Ovis aries: one gene and its partner. The protein of the gene in region 1 purifies or fractionates together with the protein of each later gene. This does not show direct contact. Links are inferred from orthologs where the notes say so. Each region holds a gene or a part of one and is shown on either strand. Other genes may lie near its edges.

Region 1 (14,539 bases):
GTATTCAGACAAAAACCTCCGGGTATTCAGCTGAAAGGCACGCTGCCCTTTGAACACCTGGGAGTGGACTTCACTGAAATGAAACCTCACCGACACTGCTGTTACCTGCTGGTCATGGTATGTACGTTCTCGGGTCGGGTAGAAGCTTTTCCTACCTGGACTGAAAGAGCATCAGAAGTAGCCTGGTGCCTGCTCAGGGAAATAGTTCCCAGATGTGGACTTCCTACCAGCATTGGTTCAGACAATGACCCAGCTTTTGTTGCTGATTTAGTACAAGTAAGCAAAACTTAAAACATCAAATGGGAACTGCACACTGCATATAGGCCCAGAGTTCTGAGACGGTGGAGTGAACCAACCGGACATTAAAGAGACTCTCCAAGAGGATCATAGAGACTGATGCTCCTGGGTGGACTTACTTCCAACAGCTCTGCTCAGACTCAGGGTGACCCCACAGTCCCAAGGCTATTCTCCATAGGAAACTGTGTATGGGAGGCCCCCTCCCATAATAAAACAGGTGTCAACAAATTTGCCTCAGGTAAGAGGGGATAGGGTTTCACAGCAGATGGAACTGGGTAAGATAATAAATCGGGTAACTAAGTTTGTACAAGAAAGGGTGCCGTTCCCCCTTGGGGAATACATTTGTGAGTTTACGCTTGGTGACCAAGTACGGGTCAAAGATTGGAAACCTGATTTGCTAGCCCCTTGGTGAAAGGGCCCTTATGTTATTCAAACTACCCCACTGCAGTTAAAGTGGCAGATATTGCCCCTTGGATCCATCATAGGAGGGTGAAGAGAACATACCACGCAGACCCAAAAAACGCTGAGTGGACTGCACAGGGGGACCCCGCTGACCCTCGAGAGACTAAGACCATCCTTAAGCAGGAGGAAAAGAAGGTCCTGGACGAGCCCCTTCAGGATGAAGCCGGACAATCAACTCCTGCTGCTTGGCCTCATCAACGTGATTTTGAATTTAACTTCCGTTTCAACTCAGGGCAATGTTTTCATCTCATGCGCCCCTTCCTACGCAGACTTCCACAGCACTTCCAGCTGCTGGGTATGTAGGGCTGTGCCTCTGTCAGTGACAGATGGACTTCCTTGGTGGGTGTCACCACTCTGCCAAGGAGATTTTAAAGCACTCTGCTCTTTTCTGGGATGACAAAAAGAGACTTTCCTCTCTCTTGCCAATCATAACCTCTACTTGCTCTCTTGGTGTAAGACCTACAGTCAATAGACTCGGGGCATGGAGTTACATTTGATATAAATGCCAGTGTAACAAAAGCCAAACCTACTTGTTGGAAATCTACCCCGGGAGCCCCGGTAAATCTACCTTATTTACATGCTAGGCGGACAAGATCCGTATGAGTATGGTATGAGTATATTGCTGCCTTATTTGTACCCTCTACAGGGACAACAGATATCACGATTAAAGTAGAGGCCTTGACTAATTTCACACAACAGTCCCTCCTAGATAGAACAAAAGCCATCCAAGCCTTAAATGAAGAGCAAATCCAAATGAGAAAAGCAGGAATTCATAATAGAATGGCTTTGGACATACTCACAGCTGCTCAAGGAGGGACCTGGGCTATAATTAAGGTTGAAAGTTGTGCACACATTTCTGACTTATCTGGCGATGCATTGACTGCTTTAGATGACGTGAAAAACCAGGTAAAAGCAACGTCAAGTGAAAACACTCCTTTTTGGACTTCGGTCCTATCTTGGGTGAAGGGCGATTGGTGGAAAACTATATTTACCACTGTTATAGTTGCCTTGATAGTTCTGCTTTGTGGACCCTGGATTTTACAATGTATTATGAACTCTGTAACCCGAAGGTTGATGTCATTGTCCCAAATTGGCGGTCAGAGAGCCAGGGTGCAATATATCCCTATGAATGAAGCTCATAATATGAGTTGAGAGCATCAAGAGGGGGGAATGAAGAAGGAATTCATAGGGCCTGGACTCCATCTTAGGCCTGTTCATGCTGATCACGCTTGGCCACCTTTCCAATGGACTCTGAACTCCGTGTTTAGTGCCTATGAAAACAACAACAGAAGGATGCGACCCCCTCCAGACAGGGCAACCTTGAAGATCGTATCTAGGTTACTCATCGCCTAAGAGAAAACATACACTAATCACCCCTTCCTCCAGACAGGCCATAAATTTTTCTGTATCAATCGGAGTGTAACCTCGGGTTTATTGATTAGTGGCTAACTGTTTGACTATTTGAGCACATGAGCACATAGCAGGTGAATGATGGGGTTATTGGGATTGTATTTTCCTTGGTTTATGTAAGTCTCAAGGAATTTGGAGTGGTGGGTTCAGACACGTACTCATGGGGTATAAAAGATTTTCACAAATGCTGGTCGGGGTCCTTGGCTAAGAGGAGACTCTGCCGTGGGCCGCCGGTGTAATAAACTGCACTCCACTATCAGCATCGTCCTTCTGAGTGAGTTTGTTTCCTGGAACGCTTGGCTACAACACTCCTCCCTCCAAATCTTGATCTGGGAGTAGCAGAGGTATATCCCCTGCCTCTCACCCAACATAAAAGTGGCGCTGGTTTGTCTCCATATGGAGCTGGGGCTCCTGCTTCTGGTCCGGTCTTGTCCTAAGAGACTTGCCTTTTCTTGGTGGAAAAGTTTTAAAATATTTGTTAAAATATTTATTAAATATTTGAAATAATCTGAATTTGTGTCCAGAGATATTCAGCCAGTCATCGCTCCATTTAAAAATCAGAGATATTTTTACCCCGGTGAGAGCACATCTCCAACCAAAGGTTTCTCTGTTCTGCTTGTGCTCAACCAGGTGGGCGACTGTCTCAGAGGTTTTCTCTCTCCTTTGCCCAAACTCCACCTAATAAAGTTCTGAGAGCATGAAGAAAAAGTAATTCAAAAAACAAAAAGAACTGGAGCCAGGGCTTCCCTGGTGGCTCAGTGGCAAAGAATCTGCCTGCCAACGCAGGAGACATGGGCTGGATCCCCGATCCAGGAAGATCCCACATGCTGCAGAGCTACTAAGCCCGTGCGCCACAACTATTAAGCCTGTGCTCTAGAGCCTGGGAGCCGCAAAGGCTGAGCCCACGTGCTGCAAATACTGAAGCTCAAGTGTCCTAGAGCCCATACTTCTCAACCAGAGAATCCACCGCAATGAGAAGCACACACACTGCAACTGGGGTGTGACCCACGAGCCCCACAACTGGAGCAAGCCTGAGCAGCAGCGGAGACCCAGCACACCAAAACTAAGGAAAATCGTAAAAAACCCACATCAACCAGCCAGAGCCACCCGGAGGATGTGCCAGAGGAGGGAGTGGGCAAAGCAGGGGCCGTGGCCAGGCCACGGGCCCTCCCTGTCTGAGTCAGAGGGGCAGTCACAGCACTCACATCACAGGGCAACTGTGACGGCTAAACAGCTCAGTGACCACAGAACCCTCAGACTCAAGCCTGGCACGTGGTACATGTCCTTACTGTGCCGTGTGTCTGTGGGACAAAGGGGCTCAGCCTGGAGAGAGCCAGAGGCACTGAAGCAGCTCCGCCCTGGGAAGAGCCGCAGAAGGCCGGCAGGAAGCGCAGGAGGAGGGCCGGGGCGGGAGGTTGCAGTCCTGATTGGACACCAGGTCCTACCTGCTGCCCGAGCCCCGGACCCACTTCTCTGGGCTTCGCTTCGCATGCATCACAGACGCGGGTCTGAGGCTGGTTTCTTGGAGGGCCCTGAGTTCAACTGTCCTGACTCCCCATCAGGCACCAGGCACTGCTGTGGGGAGAGGATGCCCCACCTGTCGACGTTTCTTGGTGGGAAACGTCCTCTCCTGGGGAGGCGAGATGAGGCGAGCAGGCCGGGCTCCAAGGACAAGAGCATTTATTGAAGCTAGGAAGCAGGGCGTGGGGGAAGGGCTGGGCGCTCCCGGAGACGGTGCGTCTGAAGGGCTGCGAGCGCCCAGGGTCAGGAGCCAGAGCCAAGGGGAGGAGGGCGGGGGGGCAGAAGCTCTCAGAAGGCGATGTTATCCTCATACAGCGACAGCAGCAGCAGGACGGTCCAGCCGCCCAGCAGGCCAACGTTGTGGAGCAGGAAGAGGAGCCAGGGCCGCCGGTCGCGGACGTTCAGCATGGCCGGGAGCTGAGGACGGCGCCCGAGTCAGGACCGGCTCAGAGCGCCCGCCCAGCGCCCGCCCGGGGCAGCCCCCGCCCGCCCGGCTCTGACCATGTCGCAGAGCGCCACGTAGAGGAAGAGGCCGGCGGCCACCGCCAGGATCCAGGTCTCGCCGTCTTCGCCTACGCCGGCCGCGAGCGCAACGTAGAGGCCGATGAAGGCCGTGAGCCCCGAGGCCAAGTTCAGGAGCAGCGCGCGGCGCACCGACAGCCCCGCGTGCAGCAGGGCCGCGAAGTCCCCTGGGGAGGGAGGTGGGGGTGGTTTAGTCGCTCCGTCGTGTCCGATTCTTGAGACCCCATGGATCGTAGCCCCCCAGGCCGCTCTGTCCATGGGATTCTCCAAGCAAGAGTACTGGAGTGGGTTGCCATTCCCTTCTCCAGGGGATCTTCCCGACCCAGGGATCGAACCCGGGTCTCGTGCACTGCAGGCGGATTCTTCACTATCTGAGCCATGAGTCGCGGGCGGGGCTGGGGTCAGGTCGAGGGCCGCGCCCACTCCCCGACAGTCCCGCCCAACAGCGCGGCCGACCAGCCACACCCAGACCCCCCGCTGCGGGCAGACCACCCCCCCCCCCCCCCCCGCACCCCGCCCATGGCTGGCGGGAACCCCTCAAGGCTCACCCAGCTCGTGCGGCACCTCGTGGCAGAACACGGCCAGCGAGGTGGCCAGTCCCGTCTTCCAGGAGGACAGAAAGGCGGCGCCCACGGCCAACCCGTCGGCGAAGTTGTGCACGGCGTCGCCCAGCGTGATCACCCAGGGCAGCAGTCTCAGCTCTGCGGGCGCGGCGGGCGTGGGTGCGCGTTTGCCCCGGCCCGTTCCTCCGTCCCCCTCCCCGTCCCCGTGCCTGCGGCCGCGCACCGAGACCCTGACCCCCAACGCTCCGGGGCCTCCCTCAGGGCTCACCTGGGCTCAGCCTCCGGGGCTCCGGGCTCAGCAGCTCGGGGTCCTCCTCCGCCACCTGGAGGGGAGACCGGGTTGGTGGGCGGGCCGCGTAGATTAGACTCAGGGTGGGAAGGTGAGGAGCACGCGGAGCCAAGTCCCCAGATCAGGCCAGGGAGGAAGCCCTGGATGGGTGACTGGGAGCGCAGACAGGGCTCCGCCAGGGCGGGTGACCCCAGGCAGGGCGGGCTCACCAGGTCTGCGCGAGAGCCCTCATGGAGCTGCTTGGGCTGCCGGCGGTCGCTGGGCGCCAGCTGCAGGGACACACCGTGGCTGTGGCCACCGTGGCTGTGGCCATGGCTGCAGGCCCCATCCTTTGGGTCCTGCGGGGACGGAGGCTCAGGATCCACTGTGCCTCCGCCACCCCTGCCCACACCACGCCCAGCCCCCAAGCACCTGACCTCGGGGTCCAGGGGCAGCAAGAGGTTGAAGAGGCTCTCGAACAGGAAGAAGGCATAGAGCCCGCCCAGCACAGCTAGGAGGTGCCAGGTGGTCTGGAGCCCAGGGTCCTCCCCGTCATGGGTGTGCAGCCCCAGCACCTGGTGGGGGGGGTGGGCAAAGGACACTGGACCCGGTGCCTTGGGACCTCCTCCCAGACAGGCGGATAGAGGTTAGGGGTCAGGAAGGGCTGTGGCAGGCTGGGGCAACCTTAGGCATCAAGTGCAGGAGGGCGTCGCCGGTGAGCGCGCCCACAGCCATGCTCAGGAAGGCCTGGATGACGTAGTGGGAGGTGATCCTACAGCTGGCACAGACGAGGAGCAGGAGCCCGAGGACAGAGCACAGGCAGATCAGCAGCGTGGCCAGGGAGCCGTACAGGTACCCTGGGCAGGGAGGACAGTGAGCGCCTCCCTCCCAGCCGTGGCCCCTTGCTTTCCCGGGAGGGGCGTCCAGACCGAGTCTGGGAGGAGCAGGAGCCCCCCAAGGTTGCAGGCAGTCGGGTGCAGTCCTGGCCTCGGCTTCCTGCTGGCCCCTGGCCTCAAGCCCCCATCCTCTTCCCTCGCAGCACCCCCTTCCCTGTTGCCTCTCCACCCTGCTGCCCGGTCTGCCAGCCCTGGCCCCAGCTCTCTGCAGCCCAGCGGCTACTTTGTCCTCCCTGTTTGGTTCCATCTCCTTGCTGCCAGCCCCTTGGGCACCGCCGGGCTGGCGCTTCTAGGGAGTAGGGTGGAGACTCACTCTCAGCCTGGCTGAGCTGATCCTGGGTGGGGAGTGTGGGCTGGGGGCTGCAGGCCCCGCTCAGTTGCTGCTGGAGCAGAGCCGGGCTCAGTCGGGCCCAGTCGTCCGGCGTCACCCCAGCCTGCTCAGACATTCCGTACACAGCCATGATGTCTTGAGCACTCAGGCACAGCTGGGGTGGGGGTGACAGATCTGGTGTTCAGGGCCCTGAGCGGTCCATGGGCCCCCACCTCTTTCCGGGACTCGGGCACATGGACGGCTCACCGTGTCCCACGCGCTGGCGCTGCTGTTGGTGGTGGTAAGGGGCACGGGGCCCTGACCCTTTCCCAGAGGACTGTCGTCACTGTGGCCGTCATGGGGCTCTGCCGCTCCGCCCAGCCCCAGGCGCTCCATCAAGGCCGCCAGCTCTGGCAGAGGGTGAAAATCCGTTCCAGCCCTGCACTCCCCAGGGGGGCGGATGCTGGGGTTCAGGGCACTCCCTGCCCCGTAGCCCAGCTCAGGCCTCACCGTCCAGGGTGATGTTGGGGTTCTCGCTGCTGTGCTGCCGGAACACGAAGTCCACGAAATACTGGGGGGTCGGCAGGGCGTGGAAGCAGGCGCCGCTCCTGACATGGTCCAGCAGGGCAGCCAGCACCGGGCCGGGGCTGCCGGGAGCCCCCACCCCTGCCGCCTCCCCCAGCAGCTGAGGCAGGTCCACACAGGCCTGGGGAGGAGCCGGCCTCAGTGTCTCAAGCAGCGCAGCCACACTGGCCTCTCTCTCCGCAGTGCCCCGGTGCCCCCGGACTCCGCTGAACTCCAGGCACCGCAGCTGTCCCCTTCCCGGCCCCGCCTTGTCCGGGCTCTTCCTTGGAGCCCTGGGAGCTTTCTCAGCCCCGTCGAGGATCAGGGCCCTCTCGGGATGCCTGCAGCCCTGCCCGGCTCAGCGGTGAGTGTCCACTTGTGACCCCCAACCCAGGCTCCCCTGAGCACTCAGAAAGGTGCTGAGCCCAGCGCCACCCAAGTGGTCCCCCTTCTCTCACTCCCTCTCGGACCCTCTTCCCCTAGTGCCCCTGGGTAGCTGGCCCAGGTGCCCACCTGCTGAGAAGCGGGCTGGCCAGCGGCGCGGGCTTGGATCCGCTGCAGCAGCCTAGTCAGGGCCGGGCTCAGGGCCTGAGGGCTCTCGAGCAGGACCAGGAGCTGGTCGGCACGGGCAGCCCAGCGGCCAGCCCGGACCTCGGCGCAGGTGCCCACCGGGTCGCTGAGGTAAAGGGCGGCGGCGGCACTGAGGCGGGCGATGTGCCTAGGCTCCAGGGCCGGGCCCAAGGGGGCCTCGGGCTGCTCAGGCCTGCCCAGAGCCAGGACGTCGTCCACAGACAGGCACTGTTGGCACAGACGGGCGGGTGGGGGCCATACACGAGGGCTGCCACCCTCCTGTCCCTCACGCTGGTGCCCTCCACCGTTGGCTCGCTCACAGACCCCTGCCCTCCCCCGTGACAGTCAGGCACACCCACGGAGGGTCCCCCATCCCAGGGAGGTTTCTGCGTGGAACCATTTTAAATTTTGGGGTGGGGAGAGGGGGGTGCTGAAGGGGTGGGAGGGCAGCCGTAGGATCCCAGAGCTGTACCCCCCCACCCGGGGAGCTCAGAGGGCTCTGAAAGGGAGCAGAGGAGAGTGGGCTTGGGCCTGCGGGCAGGGCCCGGCATCAGGCACCGCGCGGCCCGCCTTCTGGAGTTTGCCCGGGCCCTTTGCAGCCGGCCTCGGCCTTGGGGTGGAGCGGCGGGCTTGGGCTGGGGCCGGGCCGGAGGACCCGTCGGTTGGGGGTGTTACCTTTCCACACGGCCCGTCGGCACAGTGCACACGGGCCGCCAGTGTATTTAACAGGCCGCCCAGCGCCACGCGGTCCAGAGCGCCCTGGCCTGAGGACAGCAGGGTCAGCAGACGAGCAGGGGTGTTCGTCGTCCCCGACGCTGCCAGCGCGGCCAGCACAACCAGCAATGGCCCCAGTCTGGGCCGGCCCAGGAGCGCCATGCTGCAGCAGCCCAGTGCCTTGAGCTCAGGGTAGGCCGTGCTCGCCTGTGTGGCTGCGGGCCGCAGGGGCTGCCTGATGCTAGACTGGGGCTGGGCCGGGACGGCCCGCCCGGCGAGGCTCTCCAGGCATTTCCTGCGGGGCCCTGTGATTGGCTGCCAAGGCGTTGCCGCAGGTTAACCATTCCAGTGGGAGTCCTCCCTGAGCCCGGTGCTGCTGCCCCAGGGTGAGGCCGGGGTCCCTGGGTGGATGGGCTTGGCTCACCCCTCTGCTTCTTCAAGGGTCTTGTTACTGAATGCAAGTCTGTGTGCAGGACACATGGTGACGTTGAAGCTTGCAGCAGAGAAAGGTTTATTGTGGTGCCGAGCAAGAACAGGTGACTCATGTTCAAAATCCCTTAAATCTCTGGATGGCTTTGGGGGGAGTCTGCAATAGGCAGAATTTGGGAAGAGGGCTTTCTCATAATTGGTTGGTGGAGAGGTAGCGGTGGTGCCCTGGGCTCCCTTGCTAGGCTGGGACCTTAGTCCTGGCAGAAAAGCTCAAGAGACCCTGCCCCAAAGCTGTAGTTTCTCAACTGCCCCTCCTTGGTTTCTGTGTCCCGCCCTTCCCAGATTAGCAACTATTTGAACCTGACCTTTGGAATTCAGGAGAGGTCTTAGGGGACTGAAGGAAGCCTGTTTCCTACAAGGAGAAATGGAGGACCTGGAAAGGATTTTACTGGGAAGGGCCCTACAGGGTGCAGTTCATTTTCCATCTCCGTGCCCCGGCCCCCTTTTTAACTTCTCAATCTTGAGAACAAGTGTTGGACAAAAAAGGAATGACATTTTGTGTACAGAGGTTAAGCATAGACTTGGCAGAGGAACTTGCTTTTACGGGGCCTCGGTTTCTGTCCGGGTTGGCTTCCTGTGGCCCTCTCGCTAGGGGCTGCCTCCAAGCCGAGGGCGTCTGGGGCACAGGTTCCAGGAGGCCACTGGGGCTGTCCCCCACCCCACCGGAGAGCTCCAGCGCAGCTCGGCCCCCCTCCCCACCCCCACCCCCCCACCGCTGCAGCATCTTGCCCCTCAAGGCAGCTCAGACACCGCGCAGAGCCCTACCTGGGGGTGGGGTGTGGGTCCTGAGCTGTGTTGAAATTCTCAGGGTGGACTTGCTGGGGCCCATGTGCGGAAAGCAGGAGAGACTGCATCCTGAAGCCTGTCATCCATCTTAAAGAGAGGATGTGACCTGGGCCTGAGCCCTGCCGGAGAGTGAGGAAACCATTGCTAGTGAAAACCAGGTTTCCTGGAGGCTTCCCTGGTGGCTCAGAGGTTAAAGCGTCTGGGAGACCCGGGTTCGATCCCCGGGTCAGGAAGATCCCCTGGAGAAGGAAACGGCAACCCACTCCAGTACTCTTGCCTGGAGAATCCCATGGAGAGAGGAGCCTGGTAGGCTACAGTCCCTGGGGTTGCAAAGACAGGACTGAGCGACTTCACTTCACTCCTTCCGTACAGGTGACAAACGGAGATTGTAGTTGAGGCCAGGCTGCCTGTTAGGTTAACCATGGAGACATCCCCCCTTGATATATAATCATTGTTCCCCCCTTTAGTCTTAATTGTTTGTTCTCCTAGCACCTACTTGTTTTGAAACTCAATCATATGCAACATAGAGGTTGCTAACATGTAACCAGTCGCGTAGTGGGGGGTATGAAACGGGGCCTCTCAGAAACATCACGGTCCTTGTTGGGAACAGATCCCCGTTGGACCCCCTGGCGTAATAAACTGTACTCCACTGTCTTGAGTGTCCTCCGAGGTGTGTTTTTGACTCCGGATTCCACAACAGAATCAGGGGGAACTGAGATGAGGTACTGAGTCATACTCCCTCTCCGGCCTCCAGGGAAAATCCCCGGGAAATGGCCAAAGTGCCACATAAACAGAAGGGAGCAGGAGCCAGGCTTCTGCCCTGGGCACTGGTCACTCCACCTGGGAAGGGGCTTGGGGGTGGGGAGAAGTGTGGCTCCCAGCCCTGCCCCTCCCTGCGGGCTCTCACTCTGGCCTTTGAACCCCTAGGCCTTATCTCTGCCTAGTTGGCAATCTGGGGAAAGGGGCAGACCGCGGGGAGCCAGTCGCTTCCGCCCAGGCAGGTCTCAGGGCAGCCTTGCCTTCTAGAGGGAGTGTTTAGGTGGCCCCTTGCATGCCTGATTGGACAGACCCCTCTGTGGGGTGTGGTTGGGGTGGGGGAGGAGAAGCTCTAAGAGAGCTGGGAGCCCAGGCCTTGGGACTCTGTCCCAGCGTCCCCTGCCACCTGGGGCAGGGCACCTGGCCAAGCAGGAGCCATGGGCTGAGTTCAGGCGCAGTCCTGCCCCTCCCTCACTGCAGGGTGACCTTGGTGGGCTTTGATGGGGTATGGGGAAGTGGTGGACTTGGAAAGAGCCTGAGGGTTCCTGGACCCCTGGGTCAATTAGGAAGGGCCCCCTCACACAGTTGTGAAGTCCATGGGTCAAACTATCCCTTTTCCTATCCCACCTTGCCACGGCCATTGGGCCGGCCGGAGCTGAGCCACCTCATCCTGCACTCTTCGGGCCTGGAGAGCTTCAGGGAAGAGGTCTCAGCGCAGACGTCTGGTCAGCCCCCCAGGTCCGGTGTGCAGGCCTGACCCCACTGGCAGGCCCCCGGGTCTCAGCGCCCCTCTGTGTGGGCCCACGTTTCCCTGCTTCATGTTTGCCCCAGCCCTGCCTTCCTAGCCCAGTTCTGCCAGAGCATGTCAGCAGCTTCCCTGCACACATGCCTGTCCACCCTCAGTGCTGGGCAGACCCCCAGATCCCTCCTGCATCAGCCCATCCAGAATATCATGTTCACTGCATGATATTCAGAGCAGCCCTAGAGCCCATCCCTGGATGGAGAGAAAATGGCTCTAGACATTTCTAAAATGTCTGGATCATCATTCTCCATTTTTGGCTGCAAAGAATATAATCATTCTGATTTCAGTGTTGACCATCTAGTGATGTCCATGTGTGGAGTCTTCCCTTGTGTTGTTGGAAGAGGGTGTTTGCTATGACCAGTGTGTTCTCTTGGCAAAACTTTATTAGCCTTTGCCCTGCTTCTTTCTGTACTCCAAGGCCAAATTTGCCTGTTACTCCAGGTGTTTCTTGACTTCCTACTTTTGCATTCCAGACCCCAATAATGAAAAGGACATCTTTTGGGGGTGTTAGTTCTAAAAGGTCTTGTAAGTCTTCATAGAACTGTTCAACTTCAGCTTCTTCAGCATTATTGGTCAGGGCATAGACTTGGATTAGTGTGATATTGAATGGTTTTCCTTGGAAACAGAGCATTCTGTCATTTTTGAGATTGCATCCAAGTACTGCATTTTGGAATCTTCAGTTGACTATGATGGCTACTCCATTTCTTCTAAAGGATTCTTGCCCACAGTAGTAGATCTAATGGTCATCTGAGTTAAATTCACCCATTCCAGTGCATTTTAGTTCGCTGCTTCCTAAAATGTCAACGTTCACTCTTGCCATCTCGTTTGACCACTTCCAATTTGCATGATTCATGGACCTAACATTCCAGGTTCCTATGTTAACAAGACCAGGAGCTGACTGTGGCTCAGATCATCAACTCCTTATTGCCAAATTCAGACTTAAAATGAAGAAACTGGGGAAAACCACTAGACAATTCAGGTATGACCTAAATCAAATCCCTTACGATTTTACAGTGGAAGTGAGAAGTAGATTTAAGGGACTAGATCTGATAGATAGAGTGCCTGATGAACTACGGACAGAGGTTCGTGACATTGTACAGGAGAGAGGGATCAAGACCATCCCCAAGAAAAAGAAATGCAAAATAGCAAAATGGCTGTCTGAGGAGGCCTTAAAAATATCTGTGAAAAGAAGAGAAGCAAAAGTAAAGGAGAAAAGGATAGATATACCCATTTGCATGTAGAGTTCCAAAGAACAGCAAGGTGAAAAAAGAAAGCCTTCCTCAGTGACCAGTGCAAAGAAATAGAGGAAAACAATAGAATGGGAAAGACTAGAGATTTCTTCAAGAAAATTAGAGATATCAAGGGAACATTTCATGCAAAGATGGGCTCAATAAAGGACAGAAATGCTATGGACCTAACAGTAGCAGAAAACATTAAGAAGAGGTGGCAAGAATACACAGAACTACTACACAAAAAAGATCTTCATGACCCAGATAATCATGATGGTGTGATCCAGAGCGAGACATCCTGGAATGTGAAGTCAAGTGGGCCTTAGGAGGCTTCACTACGAACAAAGCTAGTGGAGGTGATGGAATTCCAGTTGAGCTGTTTCAAATCCTGAAAGATGATGCTGTGAAAGTGCTGCACTCAACATGCCAGCAAATTTGGACAACTCAGCAGTGGCCACAGGACTGGAAAAGGTCAGTTTTCATTCCAATCCCAAAGAAAGGTAATGCCAAAGAATGCTCAAGTGAGTGAGTTTAAAGTTTCTCAGTCGTTCCGACTCTTTGCAACCCCAACTATACAGTCCATGGAATTCTGCAGGCCAGAATACTGGAGTGGGTTGCCTTTTCCTTCTCCAAAGAATGCTCAAACTACTGCACAATTGCACTCATCTCACACCCTAGTAATGTTCAAAATTCTCCAAGCCAGGCTTCAACAATATGTGAACCATGAACTTCCAGATGTTCAAGCTGGTTTCAGAAAATGTAGAGGAACTGGAGATCAGATTGCTAACATCCGCTGAATCATTGAAAAAGCAAGAGAGTTCCAGAAAAACATCTACTTCTGCTTTATTGACTATGCCAAAGCCTTTGACTGTGTGGAGCACAACAAACTGTGGAAAAGTCTGAAAGAGATGGGAATACCAGACTACCTGACCTGCCTCTTGAGAAATCCGTATGCAGGTCAGGAAGCAACAGTTAGAACTGGACATGGAACAACAGACTGGTTCCAAATAGGAAAAGCAGTACGTCAAGGCTGTCTGTTGACACCCTGCTTGTTTAACTTATATGGAGGACATCATGAGAAACGCTGGGCTGGAGGAAGCACAAGCTGGAATCAAGATTGCTGGGAGAAATATCAATAACCTCAGATATGCAGATAACACTGCCCTTATGGCAGAAAGTGAAGAACTAAAGAGCCTCTTGATGAAAGTCAAAGAGGACAGTGAAAAAGTTGGCTTAAAGCTCAACAGTTACTCAAAGTAAGATCATAGCATCCGGTCCCATCTCTTCATGGCAAATAGATGGGGAAGCAGTGACAGACTTTATTTCAGTGGCAGACTTTATTTTTTTGGACTCCAAAATCACTGCAGATGGTGACTGCAGCCTTGAAATTAAAAGACACTTAGTCCTTGGAAGAAGTTATGACTGAACTAGACAGGATATTAAAAAGCAGAGACATTACTTTGCCAACAAAGGTCCATTTAATCAAAGCTATGGTTTTTCCAGTAGTCATGTATGGATGTGAGAGTTGGACTACAAAGAAAGCTGAGCGCCGAACTGATGCTTTTGAACTGTGGTGTTGGAGAAGACTCCTGGGAGTCCCTTGGACTGCAAGGAGATCCAACCAGTCCATCCTAAAGGAAATCAGTCCTGAATATTCATCTGAAGCTGAAATTCCAATACTTTGGCCACCTGATGCGATGGACTGACTCATCGGAAAAGACCCTAATGCTGGGAAAGATTGAAGGTGGTTGGAGAAGGGGATGACGGAGGATGAGATGGTTGGATGGCATCACCAACTCAATGGACATGAGTCTGAGTAAACTCTGGGAGTTGGTGATGGACAGGGAAGCAGGGATGCAGTCTGTTGACTTAAAAACAAAAAGAAAACATGTACAACTTAAGAGCTGTGAGTTAAGTTTTATTTGGATCAAAATGAGGACTGCAGCCCAGGAGGCAGCATCTCAGCTCTGAGAAACTGCTCCAAAGTGGCAGTGGGGGAAAGTCAATATATAAGGTTTTGGTGAAGGGGGAGTCCAATACCATGAAGCACTCATTTCACAAAAGGTTTTTTGTTAGTCATGAGGATCTGACTTCACCATGAAGGGAAATATTTAGTGCTTCTCTAGACGGGAGGAGATGCAAGGATTGAGATAATGGAATATGTTCATAAAAACATCCAACTATCTAAAGACCAGTCCCACCAGATTCCCTGGAGCACAGAGTGCCTCACTCCACCCTGAACTCCCTCAGGGGGTGTTGAGGTCTCTAGTTTTCAGAATCCAGAATGGTAGGTGGAGGTGGCAGGAGTAGTGGGCGCCTGTGAGAAGGGTTCTGGAGATGGGTGGGTGGAGGCAATGAGACCCCAAGGACCCTCCCTGGC
Region 2 (14,747 bases), on another chromosome or scaffold:
CAGGAACTTTACGGACAGGACAACTGTGGGGTGGGCAGAATGTGGTGGGTACTAGGAGAGTTTTTCTGACTGGGACTTTCGGGCTGAGTTGTAAGAAAGGGAAGGGGGACCTTCTAGGCAGAATTGCAAAGTCCATGGGGAGCTGGTCTATGGGGAGCGCAGGATAGCGGCCTGGCTTGGTTTGAGGAAATTTGGGCACATAGCCTAGAACGCTAAGATTTATATAAGCCAGGAAAAGCCATGGGCAGTTATTAAAGGGAGGAGTGATGTGACCAGACTGGTAGTTGGGAAAAATTACAATATTGTATAGAATGGCTTGTTGCATCTAAGGTAGAACCCCTGGGTCTACCTTTCTATCTTACATTTCTATCCTACCCTCCCATCTGCAATGACTCCCCTACCTGAACTAATCCCATTGTTCTGCTTCACTCTTTTCTGAGTCTTGTCGTCATGCTGGACAATGGTGTTTCTCCACCCTTCCAGGCCTGTGCCAGTCTCCTGCAGCACCCAGCCTCTGCAGCACAAGTACCAAGCAACTGCAGCTTCCCTGGGCACCCGGAGCAGTTTTGTAAGAGAGCACCTCCAGTGAGAAACCAACCCATGAACAGCTTTCCTGGGCAGCTTAGAAGGTGATTTCTAGAAGGTTCTGGAGGGCAGATTTTCAGCAAATTCTACTGACAACACAGCAATTTTTCTGCCACTTAGGGAGCCATAGCCCTCTCCACAGAGGTCTCAGTCTTATTCATGTGGTTGGTGGAGAGACAGGCAGATCTGAGAGCAGGAGATAACAGCTGCTTAGAATACCTTCCATTCCTATATTCTTTTTTAAAAGGTTTATTTATTTAGTTAGATTTTTATTTCTTTGCTGTGGTGAGTCTTTGTTGCTGCACATGGGCTTTCTCTAGTTGTGGCTGCCAGGGCTATTCTTTGATGTCAGGTGTGGACTTCTCGTTGGCATGGCTTCTCATTGCACAGAGCAAGGTTCTAGGCGAGCAAGCTTCAGTAGTTGCGGCGCGTGGGCCTAGTTGCTCTGCTGCATGCGGAATCATCCCGGACCAGGGATTGAACCAGTGTCCTCTGCACTGCAAGGTGGTCTCTTAACCATTGACCACCAGGGAAGACCCATTCCTACATTATTTATAGTTTTCTTTGCTTTTTACCTGCCAGACCCTTGTGATGCTATGTTAAAGAATCTTTATGTTTAAATTTACCCTGTTTAAATTACTGTGTACTTTTTCTCTCTCTAGATAAGATCCAAGTGGATACATCATCCTTCTACACCTTCCATGTCTAATGTTGTAGCCACTAGCCACATGTAGCTATTGAGCATTTGAAATGTGGCTGGTGCCGAGGAGAAACTGACTTCTTTATGTTTCCTTTTATACTGAAATTAAAAAAAAAAAAAAGTGGACTTCCCTGATGGACTGGTGGTTAAGAATCCATCTGCTGACGCAGGGGACATGGGATGATCCTTGCTCTGGGAAGATCCTGCATGCCACGGACACAGAACCCATGCACTAGAGCTGGCCCTCTACAACAAGAGAAGCCACCACAATGAGAAAATGGCAGGCAGCAACGAAGACCCAGAGCAGTCAAAAATAAATAAATAAAAATTTAAAAACTGAAGTGGTGTATTCATTTTCTGTTAAACGTTTTATTGGGTGTAAAATGTCCCGTTCAGTTCAGTTCAGTCTCTGCGACCCCAAAGATACAGCTACTAGAAAATTTTAAATTATATATGTGGTTTGAAATCTATTTCTGTTGGACAGCCTGTCCTACACCAATTTTCTGTTTAGTCTTTCCCGATTTTCCTAGACCGACATGAATTCTGCTTGCTCCACAGCTCTTTGAATTTCTCTTAGGATATTTGTGGGGGACATTTGCTGATTGTTTGCCAGAATCCTCTTTTTTAGGCATTACCTCAATTTCCTTTTGTGGAATTAGTGGCCACGTCCAGCTACAGAAACCAGAGTTGTCCCAGTTAGCCTGGTAAATGGACATAGAACCAAATCCCTCTAACTGGAAGCTCCCTCTGGACACTTTGTGTCTTGAGCAATGTTGCAAACAAGTGGGGTGAGTTGGAGGGCGTATTTCCTACAGATGCTGCAGTGTGGCATATATACCAAACTCACTCTATCTGCTGTGTTACTTTTTCAGTGATTTCTGCTGCTTAGCCCTCTCCAGCATTCAGGGTTTCCAAACTGATTGAAAATCAATTTTTATGATTTCACTGATTCTCACTGTTGATGCCCTGAGACCCTGACCTTTGTCCAATCAACTCCTTTTCCTGAAGATTTACAAAGGCTCTTTCTATTGTTTGTGACCAAGAACTCTGAAAATGATTCTACACTGTTGTTCTGTTATGTACTACATTTCTTTCTAGCAAGTTCTAGGTATGGGGAAAGCCTCAGAATTGCAGGATAAACTGAAAAGTCAGCTTTTGAGGAGCATAGGAACCAGCCCCACAGATCTGCATGCCAAAAATGATGGGTACCATCACTGACATACGTGCACACGGATCCTTTTTCGTCTTTGGGTCATTGCTTTATCCCAGGAATAGAGTGCAATGAATCAGCTGAGGATAGGGGTCTGTAGCAGACAGAATAAAGGCCTCTCAAGATGTTCACGTCTTAATCCCTGAAACCTGTAAATGTTACCTTAAATGGCAGAAGAGAATTTGCAGATGTGATTAAATTAAGAGTCTGAGCCACAGACATTATCTTGGATTATTTGGGTGGGACCCATGCAATCACAAGCGTTCTTAGAAGCAAAGAAAGCTTCCCAGCTGGATCTGAGAGATGTGCTATGGAAGCAGGATTAGAAAGATGTTACCGATTTTGAAGATTGCTTGCTTGTAAAATGAAAGAAGGGGTTTACGTACTGGGAATGCAAGCAATCTCTAAAAGCCGGAAAAAGCAATGCAGTTGATTTTCCTAAAAGTCTCTAGAAAGGAACACAGCCCCTCCAACATCTTGGTTTTAGCTCAGTGAGATTTTTAACCAACAGAACTTTGTCATCTTAACTCTATTGTTGTTGTTAACAACTTAGTTGTTCCGGAAATAGTGTCTAACTCTTTTCAACCCCATGGACTGTAGCCTGTCAGCCTCCTTTGTCCCAGGGATTTCCCAGACAAGAATACTGGAGTGGGTTGTCATTTCCTTTTCCAGGAGATCTTCCTGACCCAGGTGTCAAACTTGCATCTCCTGCATTAGCAGGCAGATTCTTTACCTCTGAGCCACCAGGGAAGCCCTCTAGGTTTGTGATAATTTGCTAGGGTAGCAAATAGAAAACTGATACAATGGTCTATTCCTTGAGCTAGAGAGGACATCACTTTGACAGTCCAACTAAGGCTGTATCCCTTGGAGAGTAGGAGGTAGGTTCCTGTATGAACATAGCGTGCTGTTAGCTAGCGGAAAGAAAACTAAACAGACAACACACAGGTGCACTACAACCAACCACAACAGCCCCTTGCACATTATTTAATCATTGAAAGTGAAAGTGTTAGTTGCTTACTTGTGTCTGACTCTTGGTGACCTCAAGGTCTGTCCATGGGATTCTACAGGCAAGAATACTGGAGTGGGTTGCCATTCCCTTCTCCAGGGGATCTTCCTGACTTGGAGATCAAACCCCGGTCTCCTGTATTGCAGGCAGATTCTTTACCATCTGAGCTACCAGGGAAGCCCTTATTTAATCAAATCAATCTATCCACTTGAATTTTTAGGGCGAGCAACTGATTAGGTTAAACATTCTGGATGAGAAGCCTTGAGGAAATAGAGCACTTTATAAGCAATGTAAATCCAAATTCACATATACAACACTGCATATATAAATACTGCATTTTAAAAGAACTTTAAGAACTACTCTAATTCCAAATTTTGCCATAAAGATCCCCATGAAACTTGGAAAGGATGATTCCCTCTCAGTAAAGATGTAGTTAATTTAGCCAGCTTCCCTAGTACCTAGACATATGGACCTCTTCTATAAAGTGTTTAAGAATCACTGGCTTAGTCACTGACTAATTAGCCATTGATAAATCACAGACACTAATGGGAACATACTTAGAGGCAAATGAGATGGAAGTTATGGTTCACAGTCTAAGAAGGCAAAGTGTTACTAGGAGAGCCAAAATGAGTAACAAGGGAAGACACTGCGCCTGTTCTAAAACCCTGACTATGGTCACTGAAGGTTGGTAGGGGATCAGAGGCAGGAGTTGCAAGTCAAGACCAAGGACAAGCCAGAGCTGATGGTCAACACATACACACAGGTTTTGAACACTTAGTTTGACCAGGTGGCAGTCTAACAACGGGCAATGGAAACATCATTTTGGAATATACTAGAATATCACTCTAAAGGGGCTATTATTGTCAGCTCACGACTCAGGCTTTGACTCATAAAACCTCTCCTAACTGCCCTTAAGGAGATTCACGCTCAGGTGGTAGTAGGAAACCTTAAATTTTTGAAGGCGTCTGTTCTGGTTGAAACCAGTTTTGACTGTGAGAGTTCCTTCAGGAGTTTGTGTGTGTCCCCATTTGTCTTCTGGAGTTGGGGTTTGGGAGGGATGAGCCAGGGGGTTCTTTTCTCAGATACTAGAGCTAGGTAGGTTCAAAAAGAGATGATTCTAGGAAAATTGTTCTCAATTCTGGCCACGTGTTCAATCTTTAAAACAAAAATACTAACGTTGAGACTCAGAACTCTAGAGGTGGGACCCTGGTATCTAAATACTTTAAAATCTCCCAGCTAATTTGAACGTCTGGCTCATGCTACCAGGGTTAAGAATCATTGCTTTATAATTTCCTAGTACAGGCCAACTTAAAATATATTCACAACCTAAAAGTTGAGAGTTATGTTTTATTTGGTGGGAATTCAGGGAGTTCAAGTCCGGGAGACAGTGACTCTGAGACAACTGCTGTGAGAAGGTGAGAGGAAGAGCCAGGTTCTATAGAAGTTCTGCAACAAAGGGCAGCTAGTTGGAACATCAGATTATTGTTAATTAAAGAAAGCAGATATCCCAAGTTAAGAAAGTTTGTGCTTTTCTGTGAATGAGACAATGCAAGAGTCTCAGCTCACTGAAATAATTTCTTCTATATACATCTCAGCTATGGGATCTGTGTTTTCACATCCCAAGTTCCCCTGGGCTCACTGTAGGGAGCAAGCGAAGTCTGCTGGTATTCTCCCTGTGTTCCCTTAGAATACAGGCTCACGTTGTCAGGCTGCAACCACTGATGGCGATGACAGTCTTATTTCCTGATATGGCAGGAAATATTCCATTTCTCATATGGTTATTCTACGCGTCACTAGTTTTTCGGCATCTTCTCAGGTAGGTGTGGCTCAACAGTGCTTCTCAAACTTCCGTGTGCCAGAAGGTCACCTGGGTGCTGTTTAAAATTCAGATTTCCAGGCTCCATACTGAGAAAGTCCTAGAGGATCTCGTTTGGGCAGCGCCCAAGAGCCTTCGGATTTTCTCTGCTGCCCACAGTTGGAGTGTCCCAAAAAATGAGCGCTGAGAGATAATAGCTGTAGGGAGATCAAGCCCACCTGGGAAGGGCTGGTGGAAGAAAAAGGACAAATTTGTGAGTAAATATTCCCTAAATACCTGTTTTTCCTTGGCCCCTCTATCCTGGGCAGTTTCGGCCGGGACTACGTGAGCAAGACTAGGAGTGTGACGATGGGTGTGGTCGGCTCTGGGTTCCGGAAAATTCCTCCGGGCCGGAGGTGGGGGACGTTGCGGGGGGTAGGGGGGCAGGGCGGTCTCCCGGGGCCCTTCTCTCCGCCGCCGCTTCTCACCTCCTTTAAAAGCATCGAGACCGCTCTGCGGGTCTGTCGGAGCCCAGTCCCGAAGGCGCGCCGGGAGCCGCCGGCGAGGAGCTGGGGAGGAGGTTGAGAGGGGGCGCGACCAGGCTTTTCCAGCTCCCGCCGCTCCGCGGCCGCGGGCCAGGGCGCGCGCACTGCGGGGCCGAGAGTCCGGGCGCGGTCCCGGCCTCGCCTCCTCGCGCTCCCGAGGCCGCCTCCTCCGCGCGCCGCGGGCGCTGGCCAGAGGCGGGGACTCGCCGCTGCGGAGGCCGCGAACGCGGCGGCGCTGGACGCTGCCCCGGGCGGACGGGAGCACGAGGCCGGCGGCGGCGGGAGAGCTGCCCGGGCGAGCGGGGAGCCGGGCCCCGGCAGCGCCGAGCGACCGCCGGAGCCGCGGCAGGAGGTGAGCAGGCGGCGCGCGTGCCTGGCGGCTCTCCCCCCGGTCGCCCCGGCCCCCTTCTCTCTCCTTGTCCCTCCACGGCCCCGGGCCCGCGCCCAAGGACCCCGCGCCGGGCCCCGGAAACACCCGCCCTCCCCCGGCTGGCGCCCGGCCCGCAGCCTTTTACCGGAGCGGGCACGAGGCCGGCCCCACACCTCCCCGCGCTGGAGCCTCCTTCCCGGGGCCGCCCCGACCCGCCGGGTTCCGCCTCCCAGGCTCCGCTCCGTTGCTGGGCTCCCCGGAGGAGGCCGGTCTGGGGCGATGCAGGGCCTTTCTTTTTGTTCTTAGCTGTGTCACGCGCGTCGGCACCCAGAGTCAAAAGCGAGCATCCCCGAAGTGGCGCTAGTGGCAGCGGTGCGGGCGTGATTGGCACGCGGGGAGGGCTGGCTGGCCGCGCCGCTCGTCTCTTTCCCCCTCCGCCCCGAGCCGCCGCCGCGGTGCCCACGTTGGCAGCAGTGTCGTCCTGGCAGGTGAGCTTGACACCGGGTCTTCGGTCCGCGAGCTGCCAGAGCTCTTCCTAATCCCGTCTCAGGGATGCTCCGGGTTCCTTCTGTACCTGTATTTCCCACCTTTGGCGGCGTGGAGGATCCACAAAACTTCTGTTCTCCTGTAAAAATATTCTCCTGGGTTTACATCCTCTTTATATGTCACATCTTACTTAATATTTTAATGACTGTCTTTCGGTAAAACAAAATAGGCAAAATACCTGTTTCGATGAGCGTTCGTTTTAGCGGAATTTTAGAATCATTGCATTCGGCAAGTCGTGGTGATGCTTGAGATATCCCATTCCCGAATCTGCAAAACCAAACTTGTGTGACTTTCACGGCTTTGAGTTTCCTGGTTTGTGGTCTCCAAGGTCCAATTGCCCTAAATAATGCAAATATTGAGGGGCATTCCTAGGGGCAGAGTAAAATAGTCCAGTAGCCTGATTACATATTTAACAGGTTTAGAGTGACTCTGTTTGGCTCCTGGCCCCGAGATTGACTCAAATTTGGGCAGTTTTAGTATTTCTGAATTTTTTTTGTAGCATGGGGCCTGAGAAGTTGAATCCCTTGTTGGTACTTGTGGGTCTCCTAGAGCATCCATCCATAGCTCCTCCTCCCTATGTTAGAGAAGATTAAGCTAAGGGCAGGCTACTGTGAAGAATAAGTTTATTTGTAACTAGAAACGAATAGCTTGCTAAGACTTGCGATTTTTAGGTCAGAACTCAATTTCTAAGGAGTCAGTGGTGAAAAGACATTGAATTCTTAGGATGTTTAAAGAAAACAACCCTTCAAGACATATTTTCTTCTCCTGTGAAGATGTCACCTTTTCTCCCCATTGGTTTTGCTCGAAAGTGAAAGACCAAGAATGAGAGGCAGGAATGCTGGGGGTGAGGAGTGGAGGTCAGCATTTGGGAATATTGCTGTTAGAAGATAAGGGTGCCATTTGTTTTCTAATTGCTGGTCCAGTTATTGATGGGGGAATGAAAAGATTTTGCATGTATATTGTTTTTTTCAGGGGTGGGGCTGAAACAGCAATGAGAATGGTTGACCCAGGGCCAGCTTCAGTCCATTTATGTGGCTACCTTCCTCCAGCCAGGAGGGAACTGCTGATCCTGTGAACGTTGCAGGCCAGCTTTCTGCATCCGAAGCACAAAGGATAGCCAGGCAGAGCCTGGGGAAACTGCATGTGTGGGAAGAGTTGGAAGGTGGGGTGTCTCTTTCAACTCACCATTCTGGGCAGCGAGTAGGATCCCATCACTGGCAGTGTAGTGGAAGGGAACATGAGGTGGTGGGGCCCTGCTTTTAAACAGTCCCGGAGGGGCTGTGAGGGGAGGCGGGGACTGGAGAAGAGGCCCTGTGCCTGAGGCTTTGAAAGTGAAAGTGAAGTCGCTCTGTCTTGTCCAACTCTTTGTGACTCCATGGACTGTAGCCCACCAGGCTCCTCCGTCCATGGGATTTTCCAGGCAAGAGTGCTGGAGTGGATTGCCATTTCCTTCTCCAGGGGATCTTCCCGACCCAGGAATCGAACCCGGGTCTCCTGCATTGCAGGCAGATTCTTTACCATCTGAGCCACAGGGAAAAAAATAAGTTGTCTTAGAAAAGATTGATTTCTTTTTTAGTGACTTGAAATGGGAAATTGGGATAAGAAAAAAATCATTTTTCTTTTTGTTTAAAAGAAAAACTTGGTTAGCATTATTTTCTAAAACTTCACAAAAGTAGAAGGAATAGTCTTGATATGCCCTTGTGCTTAGTCGCTCGGTCTGACTCTTTGTAGCCCACCAGGCTCCTCTGTCCACTCCAAGAATACTGCAGAGGGTTGTTGTGTTCTCCTCCAGGGGATCTCCTGACGGGTAGATTCTTTGCCTGCTGCACCATGGGGGCTTTCACCTTAACAAACTGTGAGTGGCATTCCACTTGCTCCCCTAGGATGGTCTTAGAGTGTGGCTGCTTTCTAGACTTTTTCAAGTTACTGATGAAATTACATTGAAAGAGAGTCTTGGCTTGAAGTTTAAGGATTATTTCCAAAATTCCCAGAGAGCTTTTCTTTGCTTCACAAAGAAATTGTCCCCCACTTTCAGGAAAGAAAATGCACGCCCTCTCAGATTTTTACATTGTAATCTTATTCTCTTTCAAGACTGCATTAATAAAACTTCCTCTCACTAAGATTTTGATGATGAACTAGTGCCTGACAGGAAGAACACATATGTAAAAATACTGTATAATGAGATAGTTTGCTGTGGTTTCCAAGCTTTTTTGCTCATTCTTGTTAGTAAAAAAAGAAATAAAATAAAATAAACATCTAAAACCAGTACAGCATAATGTCAGTTGTATCTCAGTTAAGACCAGTTTTTAGTACTCCTCTGTATGTGTGTTTGTTACTTAATTATAAATTAATTAATAATTATAAATTATATAATTATATTATAAATTAATAAATGAGCTGATGTTGTAGCTCAAGATCCAGTATACACTTAGGGCTGGATTCATTGTGGAGGTAAAACCCTCTTTCAAATACTCCTTTAATTTTGAGGGTGTTTTTTGGTTTGGATCTTGTTAGATCTGAGTATATCATCGTTGTTGTGATGTCGCTCAGATGAAGCTGACTCAGGGTGGGAAGTGCATTCTTAACCCCCTGCGCTTGCATTTATTACTATCTGTGCTTTTTATGGGGACCTTAAAGCTTCATATCCTCTGTGAGGGTTAGTTTCATTTTAATTTGTGCATCTATCTCATTGTGTGCTTGCCCAGTCAAAGGATACCTCAGAGGGCTGGTGACAGGTGACCCTTGACAAAGGGACTTTGTGAGGGTGCAGTCAGTTCCTGCTTTTATTAGCACTGTTAGTATTTCATGGTAATATAATTAGTATAGTGTAACACAGTGTAAAGTAATTAGTGTACACATAATATATTTAACTTGTTGGTATAATATTTACATTACTAAACATAGTTGCTATTCTACTTTTTGGACAAAAATAAATGTAACTTCTAGGATTTTTCCCCCAGCCCAGGTGGAGCGTCTTTTATACCTTCTGGGCTGCATAAGCCCTGCTGGTAGACAGCTGTTTCTCTCACTTTAGTCTCAGGTAATTCTTTCATCTGATTCTCAGAAGAACCCTGTGAATGCAGGTATAATGGATCACACTCCCCATTTTTTTTTTTTTTTTTTTAATGAGTAAACTGAGACTTTAAAGGGTTAATACCACAGTAGTTCTTTTCAGTTAGTATTTGCTTGGTGACAAGTAAGTGCTCTCATTTAATTTCCACACTGGCTTTGGAAGACAGGGATAAGCCTTTACAGGGGAGCCCAGGAGGCTGGGAGGAGATGAGGAACCACCGCGTCGCCAGCTCAGAAATGGGCTGCCGTGTGTTTCCTCTCAGTTTTCTGCCCAGGCTCAAGACAGGAACCTGGGTTTTCTTAGTGCCCCCAGTGGTGGGGGCCAGCACAGAAGAGAGCTGGGAATGTATTTGAATGAGTTCAGTTTGTTTTTCTGCTTCAGAATGCATACATATGGTATCATTGTTTTGTTTTAGAGGAAGCTGTAAAATACTGTGATTTCATCTGGGAATGCTAGAAATATAACTTCAAAACTTGCTAATGTTACCATTGTATATCTTCCTAGCATCTTAATTTTTTATTGTTACTGTTTGGCTTTTGCATTAAAGATAGGCTCCTTGAGGGAAAAAAAGATGATATAAAGCAAAAAATGAAGTCTTTCTGTTCCTCTCTACCTCCTCCTCTCTTGCTCCAACTTGTAAATATCTTTCCTTATAAGCACTTGCTGTACATTTTCTATTATAGAGAAATGTAAAATGGCAACCCACTCCGGTACTCTTACCTAGAAAATTCCATGGATGGAGGAGCCTGGTGGGCTACAGTCCATGGGGTCACAAAGAGTCAGACACGACTGAGCAACTTCATGACGATTGATTTATTGAGTATATTTTTAAAAATTTTCAACAAAAATGGGATATGAACATTACTATTTTACAACTTTTTTCATGTAACAGTTTATGTTTTGATCATCTGTTGCTCCATAACAGATCAGTTGCAAGCTTAAAACCATTGTTTAGTTATTGCTTCTGGTTCTGTGAGTTGACTGGACTGCAGTCTTCTGAGGCTCAGCTGGGCTGGAATTTCAAGATGGCTCATTTGCTATTACTAGTTTTTAAAAGAATTGCCTTGGTGAATTCTTGGACAAAATTTTAATATACTAATGATTTTAGAAAAAAATTTTTTTCTAAGCTATTTCTCTGATTCCAGTGCTGCCAGAACTGGAGGGTCTACCCCATCAAAATGCTCTCCATCATTTATATCTATGCAGCAGGTAGATGATACCTTATCTTTCCTCTCTGTTTTCTATATCAGTGAGGGAGGGTCCTGTAGAAGCCATGTTGCTCTGGAAATAGTGATCACTTCATTCTGACTGGGGCTTCCTTGGTGGCTCAGACAGTAAAAAATCTGCCTGCAATGTAGGAGATCCAAGTTCTATTCCTGGGTTGGGAAGATCTCCCCTGGAGGAGGAAATGGCAACCCACTCCAGTATTCTTGCCTGGAGAATCCTGTGGACAGAAGGGCCTGGTGGACTGTAGCCAAAAGCCAAGGAAGTTTGGGGAATCCAAACTCAACCTTTAAACAGTACGGAAATGTTTAAACAGTATAGAAATGTTTCCCCAAAGATAAATAACGCACCCTCTCCAACATGCCTTTCTGCTTCTTAAAAATAATTGAGTGTGACCAGATCAAGAGGCACTTGTGAGACCTGTCCAGTGAGCTCTGGAGAGCACAGTTCTCAATCTTGACCTGTATCAGCATCACCTGGAGAACTTGATAATCACGTGATGCTGATGCTGCTGGTCCAGGGACCATACTTTAAGAACTGTTGAACTACAGCAAGTGTTGGCAAATGTTTTCTGTGAAGAGTCAGGTGGTATTTTAGGTTCTGCAAGCCCAGTGGGTTGTGTCACAGCTACACAATTCTCATAGCCTGACAGTCATGACAATATGTAAATGAATGGTCATGGCTGTGTCCCAACAGACCTTTATTTATGTCAGTGAAATTTTAATTCCATGTACTTCTAGTGTCATGAAATTTTATTCTTTTTTTTTTTTTTCAATTAAAAAGCTTGAAACCTGAGCTTTTAGACAGTGTACAAAGACAGGTGGCTGGCAGGATTCTGCCCTGAAGCTGCAGCTTGCTGACTCCCAAACAAGAGGAGGAATTTGGGAACACTTGCTATCGTGTAGCTGTGGCGTCCACAGGGGAGTTGGCCCTTCTGCAGAAAGTCAAGTGCTGGAAGAAACACAATGGAATTGTTTCTCATTCATTTCCACTCATCCGTCTCACTCTTTGGTATTTTTACTCCATAGCACTAAATATACACATGAATTTTGACATTTTTTCTTTTTAAAACATTTTATTGAGCATAATTGACATCACATATTAGTTTCAGGTATACAGCGTAAAGATCATTATTTGTATACTTTGCAAAATGCTCGCCACAATAAATCTATTATAAATCTAATAATTTGCACATAGTTACAATTTTTTTTTCTTGTGATGAATTTTTAAGATCTGCTCTCTTACAACTTTATGATATGTGATATGGTATTATTGTAGTTACCATGCTGTTAAAGGTTTTTCTTTCTAAACTGTTAGGTTCTAGAATTGGGGGAAAATTGAGGGTTGGGAAAGTGGGAGTAGGAGAATTGTATACTTCCTAGTAAGTTTTTAAAAGAATTTAAGAATTTAAAAGGAGAATTCAGTGGACTTGTCATTTAACCCTAATAGTTTAAACAGGAGTTTACAGACTTCCCCAGAGGGGCCAGATAATAATACATCTAACTGCTTCAGTCTTCATTCTAACCCTTTGAGTAAATCCTCGTGTTGATTGTTCAACTCTGCCTGGTAGGCAGAAAGCAGCTGTGGGCAGTACTTCAAGGGCTGGGCGTGGCTGTGTTCACCAAAACCTTATTTACACAATGGGCTGCTAATGGCTCTAGGCCTCAGTATGCTCACTCCTGCCTTGGAGACATTCTTGGGGTGGGGTGGAGTATCTTTGAACCCTCCAAAAAAATGTTGGTGACCAATTCCTGAGACCTCAGCGCTAAGTGGGACATCCTGCGATCTGTTTGCTCACTGAGGTGGCTTCCGAACTCCATTCAGGTCACTTCCGGCTCCGTTGAGGGCACTTCCGGCTCAGGCCCTCCGCCCACCTGGTAAGGCCATTTCTTCTGAGAAGGAATAAAGGTACAGCTCCCATATTGTTTGGAGAAGCTGAGTTGTTCCTGCAGTGATGACATTGGTTAAACAAGTCAATCTGATTTGATTGCTTGTGTATTTGCTTATTGATTAAAAACCTCTATGTGAAAATGAGGAAATGGAAAGATTATTTAACTAGGAAGTTCAAAGGGCTCATGTATTTAACCAGTTGCCCATTTTCTTATGCTTTTTCTTAAAACAAAAAAAGTCTCTGTTCTCTTGTAAAAATTTTTGCTTAAAAGGCAACAATAATTTTAACCAGTAGATTGAATTGCCTAAATTAACTAAGCCAGTCATTTTTTAAAAAATGACTCTTCCAACTTGCCAAGAAACATTTAATGCAGATACACCTGGAATTTCACAGCGTTTAGTTGATTTTAGTTCAGTTCAGTTCAGTCGCTCAGTCGTGTCCTATTTAGGTTAATCTTTTTCAGCATGTCAAGTAACTATAATCAAATATAAGACAAAACACATTGTGAAGCCAAAATTATGACTGTTAATCTGTCTGACATAGACTGTCTCTGACCCACTTCCATCACCGCCAGTCTGTGTAATTTCCAAAGTGGAGGAGAGTAGAGTGTTTGAAACATTTGACAACCCTGCCTTTGAGTGCCTGCCCTTAGTCTTCATCAGGCTTTGGCATTTTCCCGGCCATGACTCCCTTCATCTTGGGCAGCAGTGTTTCTGCAATCCTGGAAGTCCTGGGTGAGGCACGTTACAGGACGAAGGGTCACTGTTGGCCCTTTCTCCATCATGGTCATCTGCTTACCTGGGCAGCCCCTCTGTCCATTGGGAGCCCAGGGCTCTCCTTATTGCGCCCTCTGCGCGGCTGCACACCGACTGACCTGCCAAGTGCTGGGTCAGGTGAGGGGCCTCTGAGACTGTACTCAGCTTCCTGGAACCTCTCTCTTGCATACTAGGGTCCTAGTCTAGGATGTCTGCTGCTGCAGCAGCATCTGTGAGTCAGCCCAGTGATGGCAGTGACTGCTGCTTCAGTGGACAGCAGAGTTGACGGAGGAGCTGGTTCCTATAAAGTAGAACAACTGAGGAGAGAAGATGTTCATCACCTTTTTCTTATAAACTGCAGAAAAGGCCAGATCTGGAAATGATTTGTTATTCATCTTTCCATCTCTATTAATGATTAGTGTTAGTTGCTCAGTCATGTCCGACTCTTTGCAACCGCATGGATGGTAGCCCCCCAGGCTCTTCTGTCCATGAGATTCTCCAGGCAAGAATACTGGAGTGGGGGTGCCATTCCCTTCTCCAGAGGATCTTCCTGACTCAGGGATCAAACCCAGGTCTCCCGCATTATAGGCAGATTCTTTACTGTCTGTGTCACCAGGGAAGCCTCTAATATGAGAGTCAGCATTCCCTGAGCCATTGAAACTATGTGTCAGTTGTGGTTCCAGGCACTTCTCTTATCTTTTCTGGTCTATATTCCTCATTTAAGCCCTCTGAGGAAGACAGTCCAGGGTTCTGTGGTGCTTAAGAGGTGGAGCCAAGTCTGCCTCTGGCCACTGGGTTCTGAGTTCTCTTAATGCTGCCCTGGCTTCCTGTTGCTAGCACGGCAACCTGTTCTGTCGCAGCTGTTGACTAAACTTTTTGACTGGCTAAAGGAAGCAGAATGTTAAATGATCATCTGTAACTTCCTTGAAGTGAGAATTGAGTTACAGTGTTTTCAAACTTACAGTACACCATCCTGACTCACATCTGCAGGTATAACAAAAGATGAAATGAGGATCCCATCTAAAAGTGTATTGTTAAGGGTTTAAG

Evidence for each region.
Region 2: the proteins of SLC39A4 (region 1) and GOLM1 purify together in Homo sapiens (affinity purification with mass spectrometry; 3 studies listed by BioGRID and IntAct, counting the BioPlex papers as one, with this or other methods). This does not show direct contact. The link is inferred for Ovis aries from reciprocal best matches to the Homo sapiens genes SLC39A4 and GOLM1.

Annotation. Positions count from the first base shown.
Region 1 is NC_056062.1:13,477,295-13,491,833, reverse strand, and holds SLC39A4 (zinc transporter ZIP4), read right to left. Parts: upstream 8,346-14,539; 5' UTR 8,260-8,345; coding exon 8,059-8,259; intron 7,612-8,058; coding exon 7,327-7,611; intron 6,956-7,326; coding exon 6,760-6,955; intron 6,660-6,759; coding exon 6,517-6,659; intron 6,425-6,516; coding exon 6,253-6,424; intron 5,901-6,252; coding exon 5,728-5,900; intron 5,619-5,727; coding exon 5,481-5,618; intron 5,403-5,480; coding exon 5,274-5,402; intron 5,099-5,273; coding exon 5,044-5,098; intron 4,914-5,043; coding exon 4,761-4,913; intron 4,380-4,760; coding exon 4,192-4,379; intron 4,108-4,191; coding exon 3,979-4,107; 3' UTR 3,833-3,978; downstream 1-3,832. UniProt on the Homo sapiens protein: Selective transporter that mediates the uptake of Zn(2+). Plays an essential role for dietary zinc uptake from small intestine. The Zn(2+) uniporter activity is regulated by zinc availability.
Region 2 is NC_056055.1:33,714,641-33,729,387, forward strand, and holds the start of GOLM1 (Golgi membrane protein 1), read left to right. Parts: upstream 1-5,408; 5' UTR 5,409-5,570; intron 5,571-6,032; exon of another isoform or gene 6,033-6,193; intron 6,194-6,517; exon of another isoform or gene 6,518-6,699; intron 6,700-14,747.